Xenopus tropicalis: one gene and its partners. The protein of the gene in region 3 interacts with the protein of the main gene of each other region in a biochemical or structural test. Links are inferred from orthologs where the notes say so. Each region holds a gene or a part of one and is shown on either strand. Other genes may lie near its edges.

What was found. The genes of interacting proteins can lie anywhere in the genome.
Region 1: the proteins of prkar2a (region 3) and palm2 form a complex in vitro, tested with the Homo sapiens proteins (2 studies listed by BioGRID, with this or other methods). The link is inferred for Xenopus tropicalis from reciprocal best matches to the Homo sapiens genes PRKAR2A and PALM2AKAP2.
Region 2: the proteins of prkar2a (region 3) and akap11 form a complex in vitro, tested with the Homo sapiens proteins (2 studies listed by BioGRID, with this or other methods). The link is inferred for Xenopus tropicalis from reciprocal best matches to the Homo sapiens genes PRKAR2A and AKAP11.

Annotation. Positions count from the first base shown.
Region 1 is NC_030677.2:108,639,917-108,644,444, forward strand, and holds part of palm2 (paralemmin-2 isoform 1 (palm2)), read right to left. Parts: intron 2,404-4,528; coding exon 2,289-2,403; intron 1,153-2,288; coding exon 1,131-1,152; intron 247-1,130; coding exon 145-246; intron 1-144. UniProt on the Homo sapiens protein: Binds to regulatory subunit (RII) of protein kinase A. May be involved in establishing polarity in signaling systems or in integrating PKA-RII isoforms with downstream effectors to capture, amplify and focus diffuse, trans-cellular signals carried by cAMP.
Region 2 is NC_030678.2:132,798,783-132,803,310, reverse strand, and holds part of akap11 (A-kinase anchor protein 11), read right to left. Parts: intron 3,425-4,528; coding exon 3,314-3,424; intron 3,022-3,313; coding exon 2,980-3,021; intron 2,647-2,979; coding exon 2,521-2,646; intron 635-2,520; coding exon 373-634; intron 1-372. UniProt on the Homo sapiens protein: Binds to type II regulatory subunits of protein kinase A and anchors/targets them.
Region 3 is NC_030680.2:136,455,753-136,460,280, forward strand, and holds part of prkar2a (cAMP-dependent protein kinase type II-alpha regulatory subunit), read right to left. Parts: intron 4,387-4,528; coding exon 4,248-4,386; intron 3,384-4,247; coding exon 3,250-3,383; 3' UTR 1-3,249. UniProt on the Homo sapiens protein: Regulatory subunit of the cAMP-dependent protein kinases involved in cAMP signaling in cells. Type II regulatory chains mediate membrane association by binding to anchoring proteins, including the MAP2 kinase.

The DNA of each region.
Region 1 (4,528 bases), on a different chromosome or scaffold from region 3:
AATCCAGGAAACAGGCTTGGTTTACTTTAAGTGCAAACTAGGATATGATATTGCACTAATCTGTTAATTTACAAAATGATCAAAATTGTATTACAACTTAAAAATGCAAGCTTACTCTTAAATGTAACAGTGTAATATACTTACCAGCTACCCTTGTCGTTCCGTCACCAGAAAGGGATGTTTCTGTATTTTGTAAATTAAAAGTTGTGAGGTCAGGGATCTCAGAGTAAATGTAGTTCACAGCATCTGGTATTAGAAAAGAGAAGAAAAGGGTTTGGTTAGCAGCAGCATTGTATAGTCAGAAAGCCATAGCAGTGCTTAAACAGCAGTGTGTCAACTTTGTCTAAACAATGGGAATTAAAGCTCTCTACTCTGTAACTGGATGGCAGCAAAATGCAGATTCATTGCCTTGTGAATGGCATTAAATAGATTAGCAGAGGTAGGAGGGAACAGGTCTCTTCAAGCTGCATTAAACCATCACATACTGCTTCATCTTGATGGGAAACTTTTATCACTTGGTCATTAAGGTCTGTGGGGAAACTGAAATAGATTTCTTTCATCAAATTGAATGTGTGTCTTTCGCTGAAGTTGCTAGATTATCTGCACCTGATCAGAAACACATTTGAGGGCATTTAGAAAAATAAATAACTACTGGCCAACCTAAGTATGATACTCTGAATTTGGATAACCCAAAGGCTGTACTGTCAGTTCGATTTCCACTGGCTGCTTTTCTAGGCTGTTCACAAGCACTAGTGGCACTCAGGGCATTGCCTGTATGATGCCAGTCAGTTTGGGGCCAGTAACACATTAACAAAGCTGACACAGAGCTGCATTTTATCTTCCCCTGTGTAAAAGGGATTCTCTACTGCTTACCAGAAAATGATCCTTTTTACCCAAAATGTAAATCAGATGTGATTTAATGTTTTTTATTGCCTACATGATAAGAATAATTTTAAAAAAAGATATGTGTGCTTCGTATATCCCATCTCTAGAATGTTTGGCCCTAGATTCAGACACACAATTGGTTTACTTTGCAACATTTAGAAGAAGCTTTCTGTTTTCAACTAGAAAGCACATTAGGTCTTCTAGCATGAAAGAGTAATAATAGAACAGTAATATTAAATTCTTACCTGTCTCCTGGTTTGACAAACTCTGCAAAAAGAAACAAAATAGATATTACTATTTTCATGCTATAGCAATCAATACTGAAGTAAAAAAATTATGTGATGTGGTGGAATTATCTTATATACTGGGATGTTATGTAGTAGTAGCACCACCCAACTGCAGTGTGGGTTTTAGAGACATCTTACTCTAGGTCCCATTCTACCTAGAAACAGTAGGAGGTACCTATTTATATATGACTAGTAGTAAATAGCCATCACACATGCACATTCTCAGAATAGAACAATAAATTGCAATCATTATTTAATTGTGCATTTGTATAGTGACTGTATAGTGGTAACTGTTTGTCAAAGGTCATACTGGCCCGGAGTGGCCATGTAGTTCCAAGCAAACTGATGACATAGCAGTGATCAGCTTGGCCTTTCAATATGTATGCAGTCCCATCAGATTCTAATCATAGGAGAGTGTCTGTCAAACTTTGTAAATAAACTTGCAAATGTTCTTTTACATTTGTAATGTATGGGTCAATGGTAATAGAATGCATTAAAAACACATAGGGGCTGATTTACTTACCCACGAACGGGTCGAATGGAGTCCGATTGCGTTTTTTTCGTAATGATCGGTATTTTGCGATTTTTTCGTATGTTTTGCGATTTTTTCGGATTCTTTGCGAATTTTTCGTTACCAATACAATTTTTGCGTAGAAACGCGAGTTTTCGTATCCATTACGAAAGTTGCGTAAAAAGTTGCGCATTTTTCGTAGCGTTAAAACTTACGCGAAAAATGCGCAACTTTTCGCGTAAGTTTTAACGCTACGAAAAATGCGCAACTTTTTACGCAACTTTCGTAATGGATACGAAAAACTCGCGTTTTTACGCAAAAATCGTATTGGTAACGAAAAATTCGTAAAGAATCCGAAAAAATCGCAAAACATACGAAAAAGTCGCAAAATGTTCGTTTTCAAGTCGGAACTTTTCCAATTCGGGTCGGATTCGTGGGTTAGTAAATCAGCCCCATAGTGTATATTTAAATGCTCTTAGAGTCAGTTGTCTCTGTTTAGTATTTTCCAATGCCATGGGGTTTACCTGAAGACCTTAATTAAACTAGTGCAAAACACACAATGAGCAAAAAAATTGCCATGATTTTACCTAGAGTGCTAATGTTACCTTTTGCAAATCTTCAAAAGATATTTCTGTTTCTCTTAGTTTTTCTCTGAGGATTTGCTCTTTCGCAGATATAAGTGATTCCTCACTCTCCAGTCGTCCAATATCCTGCTCCAGTCTGAAAGACAAAATGTGAATGATATCAAGTTTTTGCTACAATAGGTTGTAAAAATATTATGGTTATTATAACTATAACGTTTAATTTTATACTCCCACATATTCCACCATACTTTACTTATAAATATGGTCTGATGGGTAAAAAAAAGTTTTTTTTTTAATCCACAATGAATAACAGAGATTACATTGTTTCCAAGCATCAGGTTGGAATCTTTAAAAAAGCTACATTCTCCAAAGAGGTGTGTTCCAGTGCAGCTAGCAGATTTATGAATGGAATAAATCCTAGCATCTGTTTTTTTGTACTGAATATCAGTTTCACGTCTGCTAGTTATAATCCTGTGTATATATCCCTAATAAAATATATGACATCTATTACAATAAATAACAGTATAAATAGGAACCCCAAACTGATGAGATATGAAGATCCAAAGATATCTTGAATTTTTTAAATTACATTGGAATGTTGGCTTTCCATGGAGATTCAAAACCTCCTGCAAAATAGAATCCGTTGAACTATGCCTGTCACTCACATTAACATCCAGCCAATCATATTATACAGCCACCAATCTGCCAAACTAGCATCTGTATTGCATCTTGATCTGAAATCTTTAAAAATATATTTCTTACATGTTTACATGATGATATTCTAATTTCCTGTTTTATCATTAAAAATAAACTGTGGTATGAGTGTGTAAGTCATATGGTAACTAATACTAAGTAGGTCTGGCCTCTTTCCTGTCAGGAAGAAATTAATGGTATAATATCATAAAATCATGTATACAAGCTATTGGGAGTCTCTGCGTTTATTACAGGGTGTGCACTAAATGGCAGATTAAATATGCCATTCAAATCATTTTATAAAGATAGTATATAAAATATATTTCTACTAAAACAGTATAATGTGATGGACAGGGCCTCTTTTATTTTGTTGTTTTGCAACCTTTGTTGTTATACATATCTTATCAAACTTACATTTTGTATAATAAATAAGTTATAATGTTTCAGTAATCATTTCATTATGCCATTTTTTGTTCATATCAAAGTTCATTAGTTTTAATACAAAATTTTAAATTTTAATAAAAACTGTATCTTTTCTGTGGTCAGACTTTTTCAGCATCTGTAGTGAGCAAGTGTTTCTCTACAGTGTGCAAGCACCATGTTAGCCTGGACGGCATACAAACACATTTAAAACAAGACACTGGAGAGTCACATTCTTCTCACTCCAGTTAAAGCAGTTTATTAGGATGTCAAACACATATTTCAGATCCATGATTATTCCTAAAGTGCAAATATGAAGAATCTTCCCAGCTATAACTCAATGGACAAGGTCAGTGTGTTCTTAGCATGTAGGTAGCAAAAGTAATTGGAGAATTATTTGCTAGGGTTTTTTCTAATGCCACACAAAAAATAAAACATACAGTAAGTAACTATATCATACATAAAGCATGATTAATTGTTGTATTTTAGATAGCTTGACTACATATTCTGTTACTCCACACCCACACATACAGGCATTTCAGGCCACCCAGCACATTACACCACATACTGGTGCTAATGATTTTGAACAGCATGCTAATAAATAAAATGGCCCCATTTTCTTTAAAAAAAAAACCAAAACATCGGTTTTAAAGAGGTAGTAAAGCTTAAAAAAAATATAGCATCAAATGCTATATTTTGAACTTACTGTACCAACAAATAGTTTCAGCAGCCGTACAACAGTAATAATCCAGGCCTTTAAAGTTTTATCTTGGATTGTGTAAGCCATCCCATTAGTGTCAGTGACACGAGGTCTAGACTGGGATTTAAAATAGGCCCTGTAATTTCATGTACATAGGGGCCCAATAAAGCCCTCACCAACGAATAAAGAGTAACCTTCTATGGCATCTTATAGCAGCCCCTCTGGCATTTGCCAGCATCAGCAACTGTCAGTCCAGGCTAGTGACACTAAACATACTTTTTGGGGCATATTTATTATAGTGTAAGACCCTGTTGATGTGTGCTCTGGGCTGCTGCCGTCAAGAAGCAACGTTTATGGGTTGTTGGCTGTCATTTAACCTTTCTACAGGGCTGATTATTAAGTTCTAATACAGAATACACTGATGAGCTGCCATGCAATGTGAATCGAC
Region 2 (4,528 bases), on a different chromosome or scaffold from region 3:
CATGGGATCTTTTAATAGTTAGGATCAGGAGTCTCATTTAATGGGCCTGCCCAGCATTTGCAGAACAGCAAATAAAGTCATCACCATGAATTTATACAGGGTTGGCTATAGAAAATCAGGCAAGAACAAAGAACTGCTTCTTTATACAATACACTATAAAGAATGGCAATGCTGGATTTAAGCACACTGGGGGAACAGGGTTCCAGATAAAAGATCCCCTAGCAGTATGCCATGAGCAAACATTACAATGATTTCAAATAAAATGCTTACAAACACAAATACAACTACAACATTCATGGGCAGTATCTTGGGAAAGAGATTAAGCTACTGTTCTGCATGCTGATTGTATTTTTCCAAGTCATTATGCAGCACCTTGGTTTCCACTTGTAGTTAAATCCTCTTCATCCAAATGCTCAAAAGCGGTTACAAAATCATCCTCAATTGAAGAAACAGATTGATTTGTATCATCTTCCTCACTGTGCGAAGCTTTTCTGAGTGTGTCACTCAAGAACTGATGATCCATTGTGTACCTTATTCCAGTTGTATATTTGCTCATCAGATTAAATAGGGAATCACTTTTTAAATATGTAAAGGTGGGAGATGACATGACACACAGTGCTCCAGAAAAACAACCCTTGAAATTAAAAAAATGGAAAAAAAGGTCAAATTTAAGCTCAGTATTACAATGGTAAATGCAAAGTGTAAAGGTTATTTTCATTTCACACTATTTGTTACTTAGAAACTATGCTGTTTGAGATGCAACCTGGAATTGTGTTCAATGTACTTGTAGCCAGCAGCAGTAACCCATAGCAACCAATCAGCAGGTAGCATTTACTGGTGACCTGTTTAAAAGCAAACATCCTATTGGTTGCTATGAGTTACTGCTCCTAGGCAAACTCTATGCCTTTAATTATATATCAGGGAAAATAGCTACTGTCATGGATACACTATGCAGCTTTTTCCCCCATAATTGTCTTTTTTGAAAAAGAAAACAAAAAACCCACCAAAAGGCTAATGAGGTTTTGTGGGAAATAACTGTGGGGGGAAAAACACAATAAAGAAAGAGCTCACTAGCATTTTCTTTACATTAATACACCTAATCTTGACTCTCAGGTGTTGAGAAATAAGCCCCAAAGTCTTGACAGTAGGGCAAACAAATACATGTTGCAGGTATCAAATTCAAAATGCATATATGTGCATATATTTTTAAATATATCTCAGTTTCAACATTTGATATTTTGTATTTTACTTTTTTTTAATTAAATGTAGGGTTTTTAATCATTTGCAAACCATCCTATACTCTTTTTTTACCCAATGTCTCATTTCAATGTTCCTTTTTAGGAAACAACAGAATTATTTTACACTACAATGGACTTTGTGACAAAAATATACAAACATAAAAAACAGGTTCATTAAAAACTGCAGTAGCTTAGTGATTTTCTACAGGAAGTGGCTACTTTCTACTTATGGCAATGAATGAGGGCTTGTCATTAGTTTCTGTTATACACACTCTATTAGTGTGAGTTGGTCAGATCTAGCTGGAGTAGTTCTGCGTTCCACCTGATACACTGGGTATGGAAACCTGCCGGTGAGACTAAATTTAAAAAGAATCTGTCTTAAACTTCCAATTATGTTTCTGTACAGAGTAACCAACCTAGTCCAATAGACTTTGTATGATCTACTCTGACTCGATTTGTCTGTTCATCAAAAATTTTATGGGATTCTGTGATTTTTATGGTGCACTTTTATTACCAAATTACACTGTTTACATAGCAAATAATTCACTCATTCATTTCAAATTTTATTCTTGAACCAACAAATGTATTTTTTTATCTGTAATACTGGTGTGTAGGCGCCATCTGAGTCTGAGCTTTCAGAAGGAGCCAGCACTACACATTAGAACTGCTTTCATACCAACCAACCAACCGTTTCTCCTACTCCCATGTAACTGGAGGAGTCCCAACCCGGACTTGGATTTCTTACTATTAAGTGCTATTCTGATACCTACTGGGAGCTGCTATCTTGCCCCCTTCCCATTGTTCTGCTGATCGGCTGCTGGGGGTGGGGTGATATCGCTCCAACTTTCAGCACAGCAGTAAAATGTGAACTGTGATCAGAGCACAGGTCACATGGCTGTGGCACCGTGGGAAATCAAGAATATTGCTAGCCCCGTGTGAAATTTCAAAATTAAATATAAAAAAAGTCTGTTTGTGTTTTTGAAAAACAGATTTCAATGCAGGATTCTGCTGGAGAAGCTCTATTAACTGATGTGTTTTACCATTTCTGTGAAAGCACAGCTAAGGGAGAGTCGCGGGTAGCAGTGCTACCTGTAGAGCAGCAGATGTTTAAAGGGATTTCATATGATTGACTTTTCAGAGTGTTACACAATAATTTCTATACATAGGCCACTGGCACGGGGGGCCACACACACTGGGTTCTAGTAATTCAGATCAAATGCACAAGACTGCAATAAAAATTCATGCAAAACACAAAAGTGCAGAACGTGACAGGGACGATTACCTGGGTTGCACAAGATGTTGTACCTTCTTTGCCATGCTTTAGCAGGATAACTTCGCAGTCATTTAAACTGCAGAGATGAAGTGATCTGATCAGTTCTGGCAGATCCAGGTGTAAAGCTTCAACATCCTGTGTGCAAGAATGACACAAGTGTCAGGTGTGGCTTCAGATATCATTTACATAAAGAAAATGCTCATTTTAGTGGCACCGCTAATTAGCAGGTAGGGGATTTATACTTCATGCCAATGAATCTTATCAGACTGGCTCCAAGCTTTCAGCACCATTGCTCACTGACGTTCATAACTGAACCTCACAGAATAATGGAACCAACACAGACAAACCACATTTCTTTTCCAGAATGTATGCCATTTTTTGCAGCCCCTTGAAGAACATAAAATTGAGGTTTAACTGTACTAATTTAAAATTAAAGGTAAACAAAAATATTGCTTAAAAACATCTCACCTGAAGAGGCTCTGACTCCTCAGAAAGTCCAAGAAATGTAAGCTGGAAGGTATAAAAATCGTGAAAAATTTCAATGAAAATCTTCCCTACCTAGAACCCACAGCAGAGATTTTTTTAGATTTATGTAAATAAAATTAAATGGAAAATTTGACTTTTTTTAAACCGCAATTAACTGGTTGTGTTTAGGTTTTTTTCTTAAATTGCGCACAAATTTTGCTGCCATTTTTTCCACAATTCTAATTTTTTTTAAATTGATAAATTGCTCTTTCAAAAAGTCCCCTGTGCAAAATAAATGTGGGAGGAAGGATGAAGAATAATAAATAAACTGACAAACCTCCATTACATTTTCTTTCTTGACACCTTTGAAACCCTCTGCAATTCTGCACAGTTCTTTCTTGCTTTCCAATAGTGACTTCAGTGACATCAAAAAGGCATCGCTTATATTCTGTAAAGAAATACTCTTGTAAGAAGCCAAACAAAGTCTCCAATTATTACATACATGCAATGCTACAAAATGTTGTAAAATATACACAAATCTCAAATATAGGGTGACACTTATACCAGAACTAGCATTATGTGTATCTCTTCAGGCTGTTAGCATACTTCTGTGCTTTTTCCTACTGCTGTGCCTTATCCCTATTTAGCCACTGTGTCCCCAGTGATATGGGCCAGTGATATGGGCCAGCGATATGGGCCAGCGATATGGGCCAGCGATATGGGCCAGCGATATGGGCCAGCGATATGGGCCAGTGATATGGGCCAGCGATATGGGCCAGCGATATGGGCCAGCGATATGGGCCAGCGATATGGGCCAGCGATATGGGCCAGCGATATGGGCCAGCGATATGGGCCAGTGATATGGGCAGACCTCTTCTCATGCTCAGTTACAACCCAATGCTGGTAAAGGAAAAGGGCAAAGAGCAATGGAACTACAATGCAAGGCATAATCTGAAAATATTCCACTTGACAAATGCAAAAGGAGAAAAAAAGGAAGATGCATAATTTTCATATTCCTAAAGTAGTAGCCCCAAAGAGTTGCAAGGTTTCTAACACTGGAAATATTGGAATTTGCTGTAGAAGTTTTATTCATGAAAAAGTCACTAAGGAACTGTGGGAAATGTTTTGGTAAATGAGCTCATTAACACAATTTCATATGGTCAGGAAAAGGTTAGTAAATGTGAGAAAATTTGACTGCTTGGAAAATGCCAACAATCTCAAATGCAACTTTAATAAGTCTTCCCCTTAGTGAGAAAGAGAAATCATTACTTTTTAAACCTTTAGGAATTTGCACAAATGATCTGAGGCAAAGATTTAAGAATCATCAAAAATGTGTGTTATTGACCATATTGATTATGGTATCAATATATTTCTTCATTTGTAAACCAGATAAGAACAAGAAGTTACTTGAACAGGAACAAAGCCCCAAGAATCATCCAGAACTGACTGAAAAGAATACTAAGTGGAAAGGACCTTAAAGAAGAATGAAAGGTAAAAACTAAGTAAGCTTTATCAGAAAGGTCTATGTAAATACAGCCATAAGCACTCACAG
Region 3 (4,528 bases):
CTGAAGTGGCACACTCACGTGGGATTCACTGGCAACAAATCAGTTAGAATTGTCGTGGGCGAGAGAGGGAACAAACCTGACTATTGCCAAAAATGGGTAATGGATCAACTTCAGTTCAACAGGAGACCGGTGACTTAAAGATTTCCTTTTGACAGTGCAGAATTCTAAATATTTGAGAATTTTTATTTTGCATTTTGGTGAATGCTGTGCTGTAACGTAAAAACAGAACTGCATTTGGCCATGATGCTTATGACAGCTGAGTGAAAGAGTAAAAAACAAACAAAAAAATAGTCAACGACAGCATAATAAGCAGGTGAAATTGATTTTTTTTTACCCCTTTACTCACTTTGCTGCTGAGCTCTCACTATCATGTCGGCTGTACTTTCCCATTATGCTGCCCAGTGTAACAAACAAATGGCATCCTCCAGTATCTACAAACGCAGATCGCCCATGCTGAAATGTTCCAAGCATTTAAAGAGACAGCAGTACAAACGAGCACAATGATAAATACGATTACTATGCTGCTGTCTCACCACTGCCCGAGTGCAGCATTCAATAAATAAAAAAAGTGGGAGTGTTTACTCACTGAAAGATTTCTTTTACTGAGGTGATTGAGTAAACTCATCCTCCGAATAGGTTGAAAAGACTTGAATAAAGCACTGGAGTGTGTTCAAACCCAAGAACCGGACGGATATTCTGCTGATACAGAGAATGGCAGACAAATATGGACGCCAGTGACTTCATTCTGTATCATTGGTTATATCGAACAATCGTGTACTTGGGCAGGCGTGCCGGAGTGAAAAACATGCTAAGGGCGCCCTGCATGCTGCATCGACACCGCTTCTGGGCAAGAAAACATGCAAACTAGACTTTAGAGTCATTCGATGCAGTTACAATTTTGACAAAGGGCAGACAGACCGTTAAAACGGCTTTAGTCATACGATAGAAAATTGTATAACAGCTCTCAGATCTGTGGAATTGGAATTTCTTATTTTTCAAGTACTTTGAGAGAAACAGGAAGCAGGAAGTTCAATAAGCACTCCCAGTGTTTGCTGGGGGAAAATGCAGCTACGTATAAACCAGGGAGAACCATAAAACTGGACTTTAAAGGGGTTGTTCAGCTTAAAATTAACTTTTAGTATGATGTAGAGTGTGATATATTGACACAAATTGCCATTGGTCTTCATTTTTTTATTATTTTGCTTCTTGTTCAACTCAACTTCAACTCCCAGTTTGAGATTTCAGCACCAATCTGGTTTGAATGAGATACTGGATAATAACAACAAAAGGGACTGGATAGAATAATAAGTAATAAAAAAATAACAGTTTTTTGGCCGCCGGGGTCAGTGACCCCAATATGAAAACTGGAAGGAGTCAGAAGAAGGCTGCAAAGAATTCCACAACTACACCTAATAAATAAATGAAGCCCAACTGAAAAGTTGCTAGGAATAGGACAAGTTAACTTAAAAGTGAACTACCCCCTTAAATCTCCTTCTCCCTTAAATTTAGCTATCACAAAAAAAAAATTTTAATTTTTAAATAACCGTTAGAGGAGGCTCCGCCAAATATACACCACTTAAGAGTTCATTTGTCATAAAACGAATGACATTTCTTTTTAATATCAAGATGGACAGTTTAAACAACTTTTTTTTCTTGCATGAAACTCTGGGAAGTTTATTTTGCCTTTATTATAAAAAAATTTCCATAAAATGAAAAAAAAACAAACAAATCCACTATATTTAATTTAGGGCAAAATACTTTTTTTTTTTTTTTTAGTAGTACACTTTACTTTTATAAATACAAATCTTTGAATTTGCTCGTTGTGAGTCTCACAGAGTTCCATGAAATAAAAGTGGTATATTTAAATGAACAATACGAAAGACTCCACCAACACGACAAGTAACTTAGAATTTTATGTTCGGAGGTTTCTTGGAGTGCTTGAGAAACGCTACAAACGCTTCATTGAATACAATAATCATTTTGGTTCATGTTGCACGACATACTGTATTACTTTCTCCTAACGTAAGGAACGCTCCACTCAAGCTGCAGAAAGTCTTGCCATTGTTCTTAACATACATTCGAGGGGGGTAAAAAGGGGGAAAAAAGGCATTAAAATGTTGCTCCTGAATAAAAATGGGAGTGCAAAGTGTGTGTGAGAAAGACTATATAGATATATAGAGTTTATCAGTGTGGATGTCATTTGTATTTGAATAATATTTTAGGAATGGTGCTTGACTGATTTCAATAACAAAATATCCTATTGGGGGGGAAAAAAAAAAAAGGAAATCCATAGGAGCCACAATAGGAACTTGTGTTAACATTCTCTTCTTAGATACAAAGATAAAAAATGTTCTAAAATGACTATACAGGATTTATTTTTTTTTTTGTCTCATAACATTTTTGCTACTAGGTGAACCTAAATCATACGGAACGGCTAAGGGAGCGAGAGTTCCGACTGAGCAGGCCAACTGTGGGGGTGAGGGAGGGAAGCCCAGCTATGCGAAAACATTTTACAAATTAATACTCAGACCTATTATTGTTGAAACATCTTTGTGGCTATCCGAAGAGCTATTAAAATGCAACATTTTCCAAGTTCTTATATATGGCAGAATCTCTCAAACACGGAACAAAACTGCTGTGACTAAATGGTTAGCTATAGAACAGGTTGCATAGGCTAAACACCATTTTCCCAAGGCAAGCTGCAGAGGGCGCCACATGACTAAAATGATTCGTAAATATCGGCAGTTCAGCACTGCAATTAATAGGCTGCAGTGCTGAACCCAAGAACAGTTTCCAAGTAAAATTAAACCTTATTGCCGATCAACCTCATTGTTTTGACTAGAAAAAATGGCAGCCATGTTTAGTAAATAACAAAAATGTTTTTTTTGTTTTTTAATTCTACTTGTTATGCTCAGACACTGGGCTGTGGAGTAGGCACTTACAAAATGTATCGCAACGAGGGCTATTATGCCATTCTTAACCAGGGGAGGAAAAAGAAAGGCACGTATTTCTATGAGGTCTAATAATGGGATCTCAGCAGCAAAATGGCCCAGACTGGATTTCTACCATGGTCTCTGCTGCTGAAGCTTTACTCTCTGTTTAAAAAATAAAGAGGGGGGTGAAAAAGAAAAAGTGCTCAAGACAACAGCAGTAGCTGTTCCACAGTGCTCTTTGTCCCTTGTTTGTTGTGTTGCTGACAGGAAGCTTTTTTCTGTGTCTTGAACAGAGAAGGCAATGAGGTAACTGTGCCTATTTTCCTGGATCCCTAAGGTCCATGCTGGAACCAAACAATGCAACCAACTGCTCCTCATAATGTGTGATATTTCTCTTCATAATGTCCATGCAGGGGCCCAGCAATCGTTCAAATGCCTGCACATCCATAACTAAAAAAAGATAAAAGGGGGAAACATTTTTTAAACAGAAATAAAACATTTGATTTTAGCTTATCAGGCCTGGTAACCTTATTCTTCTCTAGTTACCAAGACACCATCTAATGTTGGCTTGCTGCATTAATACTAGAGAGATCAACAGATTTATGCTCTTACTTGTGTTTTATGAATGGGTACTAAAGCCTTTGAAGAACAATATTCTTTATGACTCTAGGCAGGGTCGGACTGGGCCGCCGGGAAAAAACCCAGTGGGCCCGACCAGATGCCTGTTGCTGCTCCCCCGGTCCTCCCCTGACGCGTTTCACTTATGCATGCCCCCCAGTCCGACCCTGACTTTAGGAGCTCCTGGGAACAGATTCTTAAGTGACTACAGACTGAAAAGACAACTTTGGCCAATGGCACAAGGGTCATATTCTCTGCCAACAGAGAAGCACCAAAATGTGCCCATGCAGATTGTCATTTAGTTGAATAAAATTTGTCAATGCTCCTGACAGAGATTCCAATAAATTGATGAATAAATATTACAATATTTGATAAAGTGGCCCAGCACATACAGTTAGTAGCTGGAAAGACAAGGAAACTTCAAGACAGTGTCAGTATCCCTTTTAAATATATTCTTCATTGTAATTGATATTTTATGGCCATTTCTGAGCTGCCCTTTTATTCTTAATTGCTGCTGGCAATTTGCCTTGTGTGAAATTCAACTTGAGAGGGTTACATTTACAACACTGGCTATTTTATAAACATTTTAATTGCATTAAATATATCTAAATAGCCCCAATTGTTTTGCTCATAAATTATAAAAGATTCACAACACTAATAAAGATGTGGGTTTAAAGCGAAGGAGTCAATATTTACTTAAGCACTTTACGTCCCCCACAGCGTAGGCCGAAGCTGCTCTTGGCTTGTTGGTAACGAGAGCTAGTTCTCCAAAATACTGTCCACTTTTACAACGTGCTATCTCTACTTCCTGGTTACTTTCTTGACCTGTTTTTGTCTGTAACAGATAAAGACATTAGCAATGTTCCAAATAAATTCACAAGCATTTTAGCTGATGCTGATTCATATCTATTTACCAAACGTTTTTATACCCATTTTGCTTATAGCGACTACAAAGAAATAGAGCAAACTTCATTAAG